3 linked regions of the Caenorhabditis elegans genome follow. The protein of the gene in region 1 interacts with the protein of each later gene in a pairwise test. Each region holds a gene or a part of one and is shown in the gene's direction. Other genes may lie near its edges.

Region 1 (5,523 bases):
GTCAAAGGTTGGGCAAAAATTTGGTGCCACATATTTTGCAATTGAATTTTAAATTGGGAAGTATGTCAGGCATATGGACGACATTCCTACATTAACATCAACAGTATTGTTAAGCAACTTTTTGTTGATAGATTCTTCTTGTATGTTCAATTTCCAGATATATGAACCATCATTCACTGCCGAATCCCTTGCGGAAATCCTACAGATGCCTCCGCATAAGACGCTTCTCCGACGTCACTTGACATCGCATTTCAATCAACTTCTCGGCCCGAAGATTATTGCCGATAAGCGAGATTTTCTAGCAGCCGGCAACTATCCGCAAATCTCCCCGACAGGAAGGGTAAAGGTGAGAATTTGGGAAAGTGAAGCGAGTCACACGGACGCACAATTTTTGCAGGTCGTCAAGAAAGGATTCTCGTTGACTAGAAAAAAGGCAAAGAATGAGATTTGCTTGGAGCCAGAAGAGCTGCTTTGTCCACAGGTGTTGGTACACAAGTATCCCACTGGGGTATGTAATTAGACATTAAGCTAGTGAGACTATCAAATTCTGGGAAACAAAATATTGTTTAAAAATTGACTACAAAGCTTCCGAATATTTTTTTATTATTTATGACAATAGTAACTTTGCATAATATCATTTTGTATTTCTCTACATAAAACCAACCCATTTTCAGGCCGGAGACAATAGTTCATTTGAATCGTCAAACGTGTAGTCGTGATCAAAGTAGTAGGAACCAAGAAGCCATGCATCATGACATTTATCTTTCAAAAACTGTTTTACCAAGAGAAACACCAAATCCCGCTGTCTGTAATTAAACACTGAGTCTTGAATCTATCTTTCATTGCGAGTCCCTTGCATTTCCATCATTAAAACCATTCATCATACACTTAATTGTTATCGTGCAAAAATTTTCTATTTTTATTCTTTATTTCCTGAAAATCCAAATCCATTTTCATACCCAACCAAACTTATTTTGAGCTGAATTGTAGATCAACCCTCACTACAACCTCTCCACTCACACCCACCTTCCACGCAACAATTGGTTCATCCATTTTCTGAGATGAACCTCAACTTTTTCATGTGACTTATTTCATATGTTTCCAATGTATGTTTCATTTTTCTTCCGTTCAAATTATTGGTCATTCATTCAAAGTTTGTCTTCCCTTGTGCTATTTCCATGAATATACAAAGTTAAAATAAATTCTTAAATTTCAAATTTTCCTATTTACATTTACACTGCTCGAAAATCAATAAGTTAGTCAAGTGAAAATAAAACCAATAATAATAATAATTGTTAATGATTGCTGCGCTTAAACTGACAAACAATATGGGCTCACAAAATTTTAATTTTTTATAACATTTTTTTGGTCACAACAATTTTTGTTTAAAACTGCTACTATCAGCGTTCAGCAAATTTTTATATAAAAAATTGTAAGTAATTTGATCAGGGAGTTGTTATATCAACTTCTTGAAAGAAGAATGTTACCAGAAAACTGAAAACGGTTCATGAAATGTTCTCAAACTTAGACATCATGTTACCACACATCAGCAGGGAAGTAACCAGCATACAATTTCAACAAAAATGTCATGCTTTCCATGTACACAAAGCCCCAAAAAAGTGTCAGAAGTGTCATCATTCAGCTTTTTCTTTTCCATTTTCCAATAGGTCATCAAGCAAAAGATAAGTGATAATGAAACGGAAAATTGACCTAGTCCGAGTGAAAACGGAACGTAATCTTCCTATGCTTCTCCCATTTCGCGACTTCGACAATCATGATAGCGACCCAATTTGAGGAGCGCGTTGTGTGTCTCTTATCCCAACACGATTTGTCCACGCCCTCCGTTTGAAACAAATTCACCTTCATTTCTTCATTTTCACTTTTCACTTTCACATTTCCCTTTTTCGGGATTTTCATTGTCACTCATTTCTCATTCCATGATAATAATACTTTTTTCAGAAGCATGAGGAGTTATCTCCTATTATCACTATTGGTGATAGCAGTTTTTGCTCAGGATGAGGAAAGTTCTTCAAAACCACCATTTATGGAAAGAATTGTGCAGACTTTACCAAACATTGGAAATGTGATTAAAGGACAGATGGAAGGAAATCCAGATGAGCTAAAGTAACAAGCCAAACTTAACATACCCCGTATAGTTATTTTTTATTCAGGAAGATGTTGACAAACATGCTAGGAGGTGGAATGCTAAGTGAATTGGTGGTTAACCCTTTTGGTGTTGCTAAAAATATTGGAGTGCCGCTAGAAGATCTAGGCATTAACAAGACTGATTTTGGTACTCCTTTAGATTTGCCAGGCATGAATGGAACATCGAAAGCTGCGTTCAAGTTTTTAGATGCATTGTGAGTTTTTTTTTAATGGATTGTACTAAAATAATAAAACAGTCAAGTTTGTATAAGAAGAAAATGAAATGCGTTGTATATGAAACCATTATTAATTTATTTTTGCACTCATTGTTGAGAAAATACTTTATTAAGTTTTGTCAAAATGCCAGATAAATTAGTCGAGTACAATCAAAGTTATCACAAGCACCATTAATGTTTAGCACTTCACAACCTCCTACAACTAAAGCAAAGGAAATGTATGTCGATGGAGTTAAAGTCAAGGATTGGGACAGATACGCAAGAAAGTTCCAGCTCGAGAGGCTTGGCTACACAACAATTGCCCCACCAACTTCCACAGTTCCACTCAATCCTGAAAACATTGCAGAAGTTGTTTTTCAAAAACTGAAAGAGCGAGAGGGCACAGAGCCACCAAGACCTCACGCTGATCTGTCAAATTCTATTGATATGAATTTAGTCGATCCCAGAAGAATGGCCGAAGTGAACGCTTTGTTGAGACGAGCACCACAACGATTCGAGAGCCCGCAGGCATCACTGAACTCAATGGGACCTATGGATATTGGACCACCAGGATACATGCAACCACTGGATCCAGCAATTGACGAGGTTGTCACGAATCTTCGCACAAAGGGAGCATATGGTCTTGGTGTTGATGTAAGTGATGAGATAATTTTGCTTGTTCAGCGATAATGACTTTAAAATAGAAGTTTGACTAAGGCATACTGAACTATAAATCTTATTTATTGAAAATCATCATCAATTGACCCTTCATTCATCGCTTCAATTTAATAATTTTCTGATAAGCTGTTACTTCCAATATTCGATTTGATTCTTTTGTTTTATTTTTTATTTTTGTACTGCTTAAAAACTGATTCGAATTGAAAGTTTATGCTTTTCTCAGTGTTCGACTACGTGAAAAATGGAAAGTCGATAATAACTGCTCCTTTAATAATGTTTTTTTCAGGATGTGAAACGCCTTCAAAACATTCTCCAAACATACGAACAAACTTTGCAAACTAAGGAACTTCTGACTAGACGTAAACAGTTAGAAGTCCTCCAGACTGAGCTCACCGAGCAACGCATGAAAATCGAGGTTCAGAAGAAAATGGAAGAAGAGTTGAGGAAAAAGGTGAGTAGCAAGGCGTGCGAAAAAAACTAAATTTCATTCTTCAATTTAGGAAAAACAATTGGAGGAAGAAAAGCAACAAATGGAGCAAAGACTGAAGGAGCAGCTCAGCAATTGGCATAGTTCGTTTGGGCCAAATCAACCGGTAATAATGATGGTCAAAATAAATTTTTTTTAAAGTTTAGTATTTTTTAGAGACCACCAGCGCCATTGCCAACAGACTTGCAATTGGAAAACTTGGTGAGTCATACAAAAACTGTCAATTTGAATTTTTAATCTATGATAGAAACTTCAAATTTTTCAAAATCAAGCTTGCTTAAATTACTTGCATTTTCAGGGTTATCCACCATCTCCACCAGCGCCACTAGCTCAGCCTACTCCAGCCCCAGCAGTGTCAGAAAACACAGATGAACCACCAGCATTTATTGTTGCATCTTCTCACGAGCGTAAGCTTACCGAAGAGCGCGAAAACCTCGTTGAGCAACAAATGATGCCAGTTCCACCGCCAGCAAAACTCAGCAGCGCTCTTCGCAATCATATCCGGTATTCTCCAACTCCGGTGGTTACTGAAGCTACTCCAGTCATTCCACCGAGCACTTCAGTTGACAGAGAAGAGTGAGTTATATTAGTTGAATTAGAATATGCATATTTTGTGAATTCACGATTTGTAGACTCTCATTGTTCTAAAAAATGTTGGTTTCAGCGATGAATTTGTTTCCAAGTGTGACTGTGAGCAAATTTCCCTTGAGAAAATGAACGGGAAGTGGCTTATGGCTTTGGCTTCTCCAAACGTGGTCCAAGCAATCCAAGAAAAAGCAAACGTTCTTTTAGAGGGAACAGAGGCCCTTACATGCTCAAGATTCGACGTTTCCGCGGGAAAACATTCGGTTGCCGCACAAGATGCTCGATTAATCTGGCAATTCAGAACTCACGGAGCTCCAAAGCTCTTTAGACTTCGTGGTAGTGCGCTGACAATGGATCATGAATCAGTTAGAGTTCAAATGGCAGATTTTAACGGAGAAAATTTCAGCTTCCCATGTTAGTTTTTATTTTGTTGAAATATTTTTAATATCCTATAAGTTCTTTAAACTATAATATTAATTCAATATTCTCAATTTCCAGTCTGTGTTCTCAAATCCGGAGAAACTTCTTCCTCTTATGAACATCTTCTTGTGACCAACAGCCAAGGAAACTGCAAAGATGTCGCTCTCCTTGTCAGAGACCCACAAGAATTCTTCGATCATCCAAATAAAAATCTTCAAAAATATCTGAAAAACGTAAGTTCACATAACCCGGTTGAGATTTTACTGTAAAATGTTCCAAATGTTCAGAAAATTGCCAAGAAGGAAATGAACTCCCTAAATGTGGTCAACTTCGGAGACTGCTGATCTCGTCATGGGTTATAATATTTCAATTTCCCTAATAATTGTACAAATTAATAAGAAGATGACAAGATTTATTGTTGTTTGATAATAAATTAGTATTGCTGATATGCGATAAAAGGCACTACAAGGTATCGGGAACGCACAATTGTCTGATACGCACACTTAAAAGATTTAATCGGATACTTCTCGTTGTGAGAAAAATTAATCTTCGTAACTCGTAGTTTTTTTTTTTGGGAAATTTAAGGAGTGATTCTTGAATATTATGTTTTCTGCTTACAAAAAAATTTAAAAAAAAACCATTGCCACGAAGATAAATATTGCTATTATAATCATTTTATTTAGTATCGAGATACGTATTCATACATCAATGCGTCTTGTAGTCAGCGTATCAAAAAATTACGACATTACGATACCATTATGCAGAGATAAAAATGCTAGTCGAGTAAAAATATGAAGAGATTAACAACATTGCCGAAATAAAACAAGTATATCCATAAGCTTGAGCAAAACTATTCAACAAGACATACAATGCCTTGAATCACTGTAGCAATGGCTTTGGTAAAAATGGCAGCAGCTGCGAACATTGCAAAGTTGCATGTTGCTCCAAAGAGCCAAGCAAACGACAAGTAGACTATCAGACTGCACATGATAG
Region 2 (4,939 bases), on another chromosome or scaffold:
AAGAATACACGTGTCTGAAAATTAAAGACCGTCTGGAAATGGCTAGAAAAGCACTCAAACATACATTGTGATAGCAAATCGGGTTGACCTTATAGTAGTTGATAAGCTCATCAATAGTCGGAAACTTGAATCGCCGCTCAATATAAAACGAGGTCCATTTGCCGGCGGTTTCTTCAATAAACAAATGCATATCCATGTTCTCTTTCTTCACATCCTCCAGATCCCCATAGAAACTTCGTGTGGTGCCGGTTTTTTGTGCTGAATAGGGAACATAATTGTAAAATCTAGAGTTTTTCAACGAACAGTGAGGGCAAGTTCCCCGCAACAGCTTGACAACTTATGAGAAGTTCATTGAATAAGTTTCCAAGCTGCTAGGAAGTTAAAAAAACAAAAAATAAAACAAACTGATATTGACGGACAGAACAAGAATGACACGAGTCAGTGGAATCGGATCAGTGGCACTTTTGTCCGGAGTCGTCGGCTTCTTCGCATTCTTCTCTGGTTGATGCGACAATCTCAGGAGAAAGTCTCCGTTCGTCTTCAACAAGATCAGTTGTAGCTCTTGGAGCACAAAACCATGGAAAAATTGGTATCTCAATAAATAATTGTCAATCATTTCATTAGTTACTCTGGAAATTAAAAAGTGTTTTGGGATATTTGGGATAAAGTTGCTCACCTTCCAACGCTTTTAGTTTTTTCTACATTTTGATACATTGAGTCGTCCGGAAAATTGATCATAACTGAGTTTGAAATACTGCTGCCATCTGTTGTCCTTTCAGTCTTTTCGGTCGTTTCACTCTTACATTCTTTTTTCTCAGATTTCTGAAAATTGAAAATTACATTTTACTATACCAGGAATACCGAATTTGTCTTTTTTTTAAATAATCATACTACAGGCGACCCATTGCAGGAAACTTATTCTAGAATTTCTGATGTCTTATTTTATTTTCAGGTAGACGCGTAGCCAGGTACAGGCAGGCTCGAACTCCCGCACTCCAACTCACCTTCATTGCAAAAATTTTACGACGATTTTGAGTAAAATTATATTGGGAAATAAATAAGTTTGCCTCGTCGTATTTGTTTTTTTTTTCAATTTTTTTCACGGGAGTTTATGTATTTAAACATACAGACAGTGATACAACTCAAATTCAGAAAACTTCCAGGAATCAAACTTCATCTGAAGGATTAACGGTTAAACCAAATTTTCCTGACAACAAAGTGCAAAGTCACTGCTCGACAGTTAGGAACAACTTCCTACTCCTGCCATAATTTAGCATCTTCCTATCAAACCTTTCATCAGCGGCAAGCAGGCAGGCGAGCACGTCTGAAAAATTCATGTCTACTATCGAACCCCTTAGAAAATATATTCATTTTTTGCAATTCACAGGATGTCAAAATATTGAAAATTGTTGCTTATAGAGTGGAAAAAAGGAGATTATTATAATAGCTGGTCTCAAATGTCAACGGCAGAAGTATTTAACTAGATTAATATTTTCAAGTTTCATGTTTTCGGATATGTCACCATTCACCATACACTTTACCATTATCTAAATCTAGAAATGTTACAGTAATCCATGAGCACACAAAATCAGAAAACGAAGAGCAACCTTGTGATGAGCTGGAAAAAGGGGATTAGTAGAGGTGAATGTTGAGAACAGGAAAGAAAGAGAGAGTGAGAGGATCAGAAATACTTTCAATTTATTTATAATTTTATTCACATCACAAATCTCTCTCCACTCAACTGCCCATAGTGATTGATAAGCTCCGGCGTTTCGCCTACTCAACGTTTCCCTCCAAAAACTCCAATCTAACTTTTTATTTTTGTTTCTAGCCAATCTTTTTTTTTTTCTATAGTTTCAGAATCAAATGCTCAATTTTGGAGTCGTTATGTATCAAAAGAAGAGCCCAAGTAATGCAACAGAAAAGTGAGTTCTGAGTGTATCTTACCAAACCGAAAAAAGTAAAAATGCAACCTATAAAACAAGATATTATCTCTCTCATTGCAATAGAAATCTCCCCCTAAAAAAAATCTCTTTGCACATGTCTCTGTCAGTTCTTTTTATGTTTTGCGTGCATAGAATTGCCGATTGTCGGATGATTTTCTTCTTCGTTCGATGAAAGCGGAAATAATAGAGAACAGCGTTTTATTGTGGTTTTTTGTTTTTTCGTGTCAAAGTTTCTGTAAAAGTCATGATGGTAGAATTTGTTCTAACTGTTTTATTCTTTTATTTTTAACTTTCAATTTAATTATAAATCAATTGCATATTATTGTCCATGTAATTAAGCTTTTAAGTTATCAAGAATAAGTTGAAAATTTTATTTGCAAATATTTTTTATGTCGAATTTCGATGCAGATAATGTTTTTTTTTTCCAAAACCGCTAAAATTATTTCAATATTCTTTATTTTTTTTCTATAGTTAAAGAAAAATTTTTTTAGAAAATTAACAAAAAAACTAAAAAATTACCAAAAGTTGTTCATTTTGATGAGAAAAAACATGAAATGTTTTCTCTGAAAAAAAAGGAAAATGGTCAAAATGTTAATATATTTTTGCAAAAATCGAATTGTTTTCGAAATATCTGAAAAACTAAAATTTTTCGGAAACGGTTTTTCTATAATACGCTTTGTATGCCAGGATACATTAAATAGAGAAAAATTGAGACAAAGTCCAATTACTGAAAGTGTAACATTTTTCTTTAAATTATGATCTAGGATAGTTTGTTAATGAAGCGATATTGCTTCTTGTATGCATACCTATGTATGTATGTCATTTCCGAAGTATTATAATATGTATCCTAATCAAGAACATGGATCATAAACATCTTTATTTTTATTATTTTATCTTTATTTTTCAACTCGATGTAAATTAAAAATCTTCACTAGTAGCCAGTAGCTCGACTTTGCAAATGCGTTCGTTTTAGATTTCGTCTTGTTTCCGATTGGCCCGGTTATTACGTAAGCACCTAAATTTTAATGTTATTGCATCTCATCACTACTTAAAAATGAGTCAAGTTTTTGAAATAGAAATACGAGCTTCATTGTGAAGATCACGATATTCTTTTTATTCGAATAAATCTGGTTGCATAGCTGTAGTACGTCAACGGACGAACCTGGATGAAATAGTGAATAAATATATTTTCTATAAAAAGGAGAAAATAAAAGAAATGTTATAGTTGACAGTTAATCCTTTGCATGGTGAATCTGTTGGCGGATGCCAGTTAATCTCCCTGTTTATCCGTATGCTCATATTTTTAAGTCGTCTTCAGTCGTTGTCGTTCTAAAAAATTTGGCCATCGATTGGCTCAGCTTCGTCTTTTTTGCCTCCTTTCACTTCTTCTTTTCTTGTCCGATTTCAGAAAAATTAAGATAATAAATTGCTTCAAATTTTGAAGTGCAATACACTTTCGCAGTCTAAATGCCTCTTGTTTTCTAAAAGTTATGCCAATTATTTATTCTTTAAAAATATTGGACTTACTGCCATGGAAGTCATATAGTTTCGCTACAAAAGTAGTACCTGTTCTGTGGTTTGGGTATTTTTCGAATTAAAATTTTTCCAAACTCAACTTTTTTGTGCAATTCTAAATGTATTTTTATGAGTATTCTTTTTTCTCCCTCTCCTATGTACATCCGCCAGCAGATGCTTGTTGAATTCTTATCGAAAGCTCTTTATCAGAACTTATTTTGAAAAAAATGTCAAGCATTCTCCGAGCATAGGTTTAAAATATTTCTGAAACACAGGTACATTTAACCAATCTCTCAGTTGAAAAGGTTACAATTTTCAGTATCAAATAAAAAAGTATAACACAATAATCTTTTGCACTTGACTCGCGTCATTTATCTGATCAACATGGCTTCATGCTCGGAGAATGTTCTTCTTTCTGCCAAAATGACTCACTGGAAATACTTTGAACATTATCAATGAAATTCAAAATAAAAATCAAAGAATAAGACTTTAAACTTTGAAAATTAGGACTTAAAAATTGTTGTAGAAATGCACCTAGCTCTTCAAATTTTGTTTGCCACTTTTTTACTGAAAATTGATGGCAACATACTTGAATTCTTTGATTTTTTCTCTACTAAAGGAAAACAAAAATCTTTGAAACTTTAAAATCAATGGTTTGTGTTAACTGAATTTGGTTCACCGATAGAACGATTGTTGTAAATCAAGGAGGTTAAAAAATTGAAATATCGATTAGTCATTGATTTTGAAAATTCAAAGCTTCCAGACAGAATGCCTCTTTGAAATACCCTTTGAACTATCAAGCTTCCTCCTCTTCCTCCTCTAAAAATAACGTGAATAAATTGTTCGAAGAGTATGGAATCATCTCATTTCCGATTCATATTCGTTTCCGCTATCAAACAATTTAACAATTTAATATGATATTCAGAGATGAATAAAATGCATTTTCTGCTCGAATGCCTTTTTTAGCTCGAATAAGTTTCTTCTTGCGTATCAGTTGGCAGGTGCAATGCTCAATTTTAATTTTAAGAAAAGTTTACATCAGCAAGCCCTACTTTCTCATTCTCTCCTTTTTAATTTTGTTTCTTTTGTTGTCTTGAAAGAAATTCAAACCCTTAAAGTATAAAATTGAATCAATTGGGTGTTCTTCTAATTGTCTCGTTCATTCAAATATCACTATGCATTAGGGAATGTCATATCAAATTGAATGATGAAAGTAGATTAGAAAGAGAAAAGAGAACATCCATTTAAGTATTCAAGTTAGCTTTTTGATTTTTCTAGATTTTTATGAACTAAAAATTGAGAATATTTACACTTGGCTGAGAACCACGGCGCGAGGAGATCGTTGAAGAGGCTGAAAGAAGCGACATCGCCCAAATATGAGGAGGAATGGCGTCTTCCGTTGAATTTTAGGAATTAGAATTTTTATGAGTATCATCAAGTTAGTTTTAACTTAAAGGTTCCGACAAAACCTTCAGATT
Region 3 (4,403 bases), on another chromosome or scaffold:
ACAGCGAGCAGTTTTGCGATGAGAAAAGCACGAGTTCGACGGGTTTGGACGAGGAGAAGGAGCGCTGCAAAGCACGAGGAAATGTGATCATTTGAATTGGCGTCAAAATCACATGGTAAAACTAGGCCGCGCATGACCTGAGCACGAGACACTCTCTCGGCCATTTTCAAGTTGGCGCGCTGTGTCACACACTCCGGTGGAGCGTGTTGTGGCGGAGTGTATGAGAAGTGTGCGAGTGGTTTGCGTTCGGCGCACTCCGCCCACTTTTTCCGTGCCGCACGCGGGTCTTTCGAATTTTATCGATTTTTTAAAAGTGTTTTTTTAGTTTATTTTTGTTTTTGACGAATTTATGAGGGATTTCTTGCGATTTTGGATTTTAAATAAAGAAATAGGTTTAAATATAAAAAATATCTTTAGATAAAGTATTCCTAATCGATGAAACAAGTGGAGTCAAGGAAATCTCTAGTTTTTCCTTCTAAATACTCGAAGCAAGCCAAAATGAACGAATTTTGTGATAAGATTTCTTTTAAATTGTTCAAAAATTGTTATTCTGTTCAAAATCAGGTGTTGGAAATTAATTGATTTTGGCTGAGAAATCGTTATTTGGAGAGTTTGAACAGTAAATTGAACTCTTTTTTTTCTACAGAAATATCTCTGAAATTCGGATGCAAAAACCTTTTTTCTTTTAAGAAGCCTAGTGTTATCCCTATGCATCTCGAAAAACTTCTCAAAAATTCCTGATGTTTGAATTCGAAAAATCGATTTCCGATACTTCCAATATTATTTTCTACGAAATCGTCATTTAAATAGTTAAAATGCAGTATTTCCGTCGTTAAAATATTGTTTTCGGCCAATTTGGAGGAAAATTTTCAATCAACACACTAACCTTTTCTTTGGAAATCTAAAAAAAACTCTAGATTTCCATATTTAGCTCAATGCTCTCCAACCTGCTCCGTACAACTTCTCGTAACCTTTCCACCCCTCCAGTCGTGAAAGTTCTCTCCCTAGATGCTCGTGATACACTAATCACGATGAAAGAGTCTCCACCGATAGTTTATTCCCGTTTCGCGAGGCAATATGATTTGGAAGTCGACTCCGATCAAATCATGGGAAGCTTTCTTAAAAATTATAAACGAATGAGCATCGCATCGCCCTGCTTTGGGTTCAATGGAATTGGAAACAAAAGTTGGTGGATTGAAGTAGTTTCTTCTACGCTTTTGGATGTAGGTGTAATCTGAATTAGGCAAGTCCCCTACTTGATAGTTTCAGTGTGCTCCGGATTCTGAAAAAGGACGGGTTGAAGTGATCGCTGGAGCTTTGTACAATCACTATGCAACTCCTGAGCCGTGGAAACTAGTTGAAAGCGATGTAAATTTTGTGAATTGTTGAAAAAAAAATACTGCAATTTTTCATTTTAGACGCGCCAAACTCTGCAAAAACTTCGCCTGAAAGGAATCATCCTGGTTGTCATCTCCAATTTCGATAGTCGCTTGAAATCTCTACTTTCTCAATTCAATTTACTCGATCTTTTCTCCATGACAGTTCTCTCCGGCGAAATTGGGTACGAAAAGCCCGATGAGAAGATCTTCCAGCTAGTTGTCAACCATTTCGATCTAATTTCTCCCTCGGAAATCTTGCACATTGGAGACAATTTGAAAAATGATTTCCATGGCGCCAAAAATTTCGGCTGTAGAGCTCTATTGTTTGATTCATCTTCCTCTCATAATGTTGAACCGTTTTATTGTATTTCTCGTTTGTCAGATTTGAAGCTTTATTAATTAATTGAATTTAATAAATAGTTTTAATTTTTCAGATAATGGATCTCTTCCGAAAACCGAAAAAGCGCAATGCACCCGTCGTTCGTAAAAAGGAAAGCTCAAGTGATGAGGATCAAGATTCAGAAGTGAAGGATGTGATTCAAAAGCGACGTCGTACGAATCCGATGGTCCAGTCGGTGAGATCTTGGTACTTTAGTGCTCCAAAATTTTGGAAAATCCCAATAAACTTTGAAATTCAGACCAAACAACTAGACGCCTCAACACGACGTGCTGATAATTCATCGGATGATTCTGACGACTCTGACGACAATCAGGATATCGCAGTAGCAACTCACTCGTTCGCCGCTTCAGGAGATGCCGGTCCATCTGGACCACGTGATCAAGGTGCCACTGCAACACTCGAAGTGGACACAGACTATTCACACGATGCCCAGGCTCAATTCGAACGAGTCCAACAGCAACTGAAGGAAGGCGTCGAGAAAGACGGAAAAATTCTGTACAAGGGAAGTGCACTGTATGGAGCCAAAGAGGCGAAGGATACGGCCAAGGGAAACGCTGCAAGTGGTTATAATCGAGTTGGGCCCGTTCGGGCGCCACAATTTCTACGACAAACAGTCCGTTGGGATTTTGCACCGGATATTTGCAAGGATTACAAGGAGACTGGATTCTGTACGTTTGGAGATTCGTGTAAATTTGTGCACGACCGATCGGACTATAAACACGGATGGGAGATTGATGAGGAGTACGAAGCAGGAAAATATGGTGCTGAAGACGATGCGAATTACGAGATTCATGAAGGCGACGATACGTTTCCGGAGGATTGTTTTATTTGCGGAAATCCATTTGTTGATCCGATCGTGACAAAATGCAAGCACTACTTTTGCACCGGTTGTGCGTTGAAATCGTTCCAAAAGTCGTCAAAATGCCCAATATGTCAGCAGAATACTGAGAATATTATGAATACCGCAAAAGGTTTGAAATAGAACGATTAATTCGTGATTTTCGCAAGTTTTGGAAGGTTTTTCGGCGCAGTTTGATACTTACATGTTACGGAGGATACTGCACGTGGACAAGCGTGAATCTTTTTTCACATTTTTTGGACAATAATAAGACATTATAACTAGAAAGAGAGGAGGAGCCTAATTTCGCAACTCTGCGGCACGATTTTTCGACAATTTTCCACTGTTTTTTTTTTTGGTTTTTTTTCTGGTTTTTTTTTCCAAAAAACTTCGATTCTTCCTGTTTTATTTTTTTTTACGAGAAAAAAATCAAATTTAATTCGCATAACATTTCGATTATAGTTCATATTTTTACAACCAATTTAGCTTGAAATATCCTCCCAATCTAATGTGAATTAAAAGGAATAAAATCGAAACTTTTATGGAAAAACCCCAAAAAAGAAAAAGGAAAACCGTGCCGCATGGTTGCAAAATTGGTTGCAAAATTACGTTCCGCCTCTTTTTCTGCTTTTTGGAAAACTCATTTCTTTGGTAATTTGGAATGTTGGAAGAGAATCAGCGAAAATAGTTCAAAAAAGTAAATTTCAGCCAATAACTCACAGTTGTCCGGGTGAAGTACAAAATCCTTCGTAAATTTACATGCAACAAACCGCGCTTTTAATCCAAAACTTGCGAAATTCACAAGATAGTAGCTCGAAAAATGTGGCAAAAAAAAATTAATTTTTAAATTTTCAGAGCTCCTAACCTACCTGAAACGGAAGAAGCAACAACAGAAGCAAGAAGCCGAGAAACAGGAAGAAGAAAAAGATAGTGACGATGATGAAAAACCACACGAATGCGACGATCACCATCATCATGATCACGAAGATGAGCCCGAGGAGCCTGAAAACGACTCAAATGTTCCAGAAGCCGAGGAGAAGAGCGATGAGGAACAGGAGATTATGATGGAGGATGTGGAAGGGCTTGAAGGTGGAGAAAATGACTCTGAGAGTGATGATGATGATGCTGAAAAAGATTGATAATTTTTATTTTTTTTTTAAATATTTCTGTACGGTGATTGTCTGTGAGTAAACTAAATATGATTTTTTTTCTTGTTCGAGCCTTTTTTTAATTTCAAGATATTGTTCGAATCTTTATTCCATATTTTTTCTATGTTTTTTCAGATTTCTCCCATTTTAGCTCAAATTTATTTCAGCAATTTCAAAAATGTCGAGCAAATCAACAAAGCGAGCAAAAATCGAAGATCCGGTATGGAACGGCGAAAAAACCAAAAAATCTATTTTTACAACAAAAAAAACTAAAAAATACAATTTTGCAACGAAAAAAAACCAAAAAACAGTCCATTTTGCAAAAAAACAATAAATCAATTTTTGCACTAAAAAAAATATTTTAAAAAAACAATTTTGCAACAAAAAATCTATTTTTGCATAAAAAATCCAATTTTGCTAGAAACAAAGCGACAGTATAAGTTCCCCGACAAAGAAAAAAAAAGTCACATTTTATTCAAAAATCTGATTTCCAGAAGGACAACGTGTTCATGGTGGAAAAAGTGCTGGACAAGCGAACTGGAAAAGCCGGCAGAGACGAATTTCTCATACAGTGGCAAGGATTCCCCGAGTCTGACTCTAGCTGGGAGCCGAGAGAGAATCTCCAGTGCGTCGAGATG

The links. Proteins that work in one complex are often made in the same cells at the same time.
Region 2: the proteins of M03B6.3 (region 1) and kin-4 interact in a two-hybrid assay, tested with the Caenorhabditis elegans proteins (one large-scale study listed by BioGRID).
Region 3: the proteins of M03B6.3 (region 1) and rnf-113 interact in a two-hybrid assay, tested with the Caenorhabditis elegans proteins (one large-scale study listed by BioGRID).

The regions. Positions count from the first base shown.
Region 1 is NC_003284.9:13,860,729-13,866,251, reverse strand, and holds M03B6.3 (uncharacterized protein), read left to right. Parts: upstream 1-1,959; 5' UTR 1,960-1,963; coding exon 1,964-2,124; intron 2,125-2,171; coding exon 2,172-2,360; intron 2,361-2,563; coding exon 2,564-3,014; intron 3,015-3,324; coding exon 3,325-3,489; intron 3,490-3,538; coding exon 3,539-3,631; intron 3,632-3,681; coding exon 3,682-3,726; intron 3,727-3,823; coding exon 3,824-4,101; intron 4,102-4,189; coding exon 4,190-4,524; intron 4,525-4,608; coding exon 4,609-4,763; intron 4,764-4,817; coding exon 4,818-4,874; 3' UTR 4,875-4,975; downstream 4,976-5,523. Other genes in the region: hlb-1 (Liprin-beta homolog), read left to right, coding at 158-346, 398-508, 675-713; M03B6.4 (uncharacterized protein), read right to left, coding at 5,381-5,523.
Region 2 is NC_003282.8:11,423,876-11,428,814, forward strand, and holds the start of kin-4 (non-specific serine/threonine protein kinase), read left to right. Parts: upstream 1-1,866; coding exon 1,867-1,925; intron 1,926-2,258; exon of another isoform or gene 2,259-2,279; intron 2,280-4,939. Other genes in the region: F22B3.8 (Tyrosine-protein kinase), read right to left, coding at 1-14, 65-258, 406-629, 677-822, 1,005-1,010.
Region 3 is NC_003281.10:10,755,051-10,759,453, reverse strand, and holds rnf-113 (putative E3 ubiquitin-protein ligase rnf113), read left to right. Parts: upstream 1-1,813; 5' UTR 1,814-1,816; coding exon 1,817-1,954; intron 1,955-2,017; coding exon 2,018-2,750; intron 2,751-3,472; coding exon 3,473-3,756; 3' UTR 3,757-3,830; downstream 3,831-4,403. Other genes in the region: K01G5.10 (Haloacid dehalogenase-like hydrolase domain-containing protein 3), read left to right, coding at 936-1,223, 1,270-1,368, 1,419-1,778; Chromobox protein homolog hpl-2, read left to right, coding at 3,944-3,985, 4,260-4,403. UniProt on the Caenorhabditis elegans protein: May function as E3 ubiquitin-protein ligase that catalyzes the transfer of ubiquitin onto target proteins.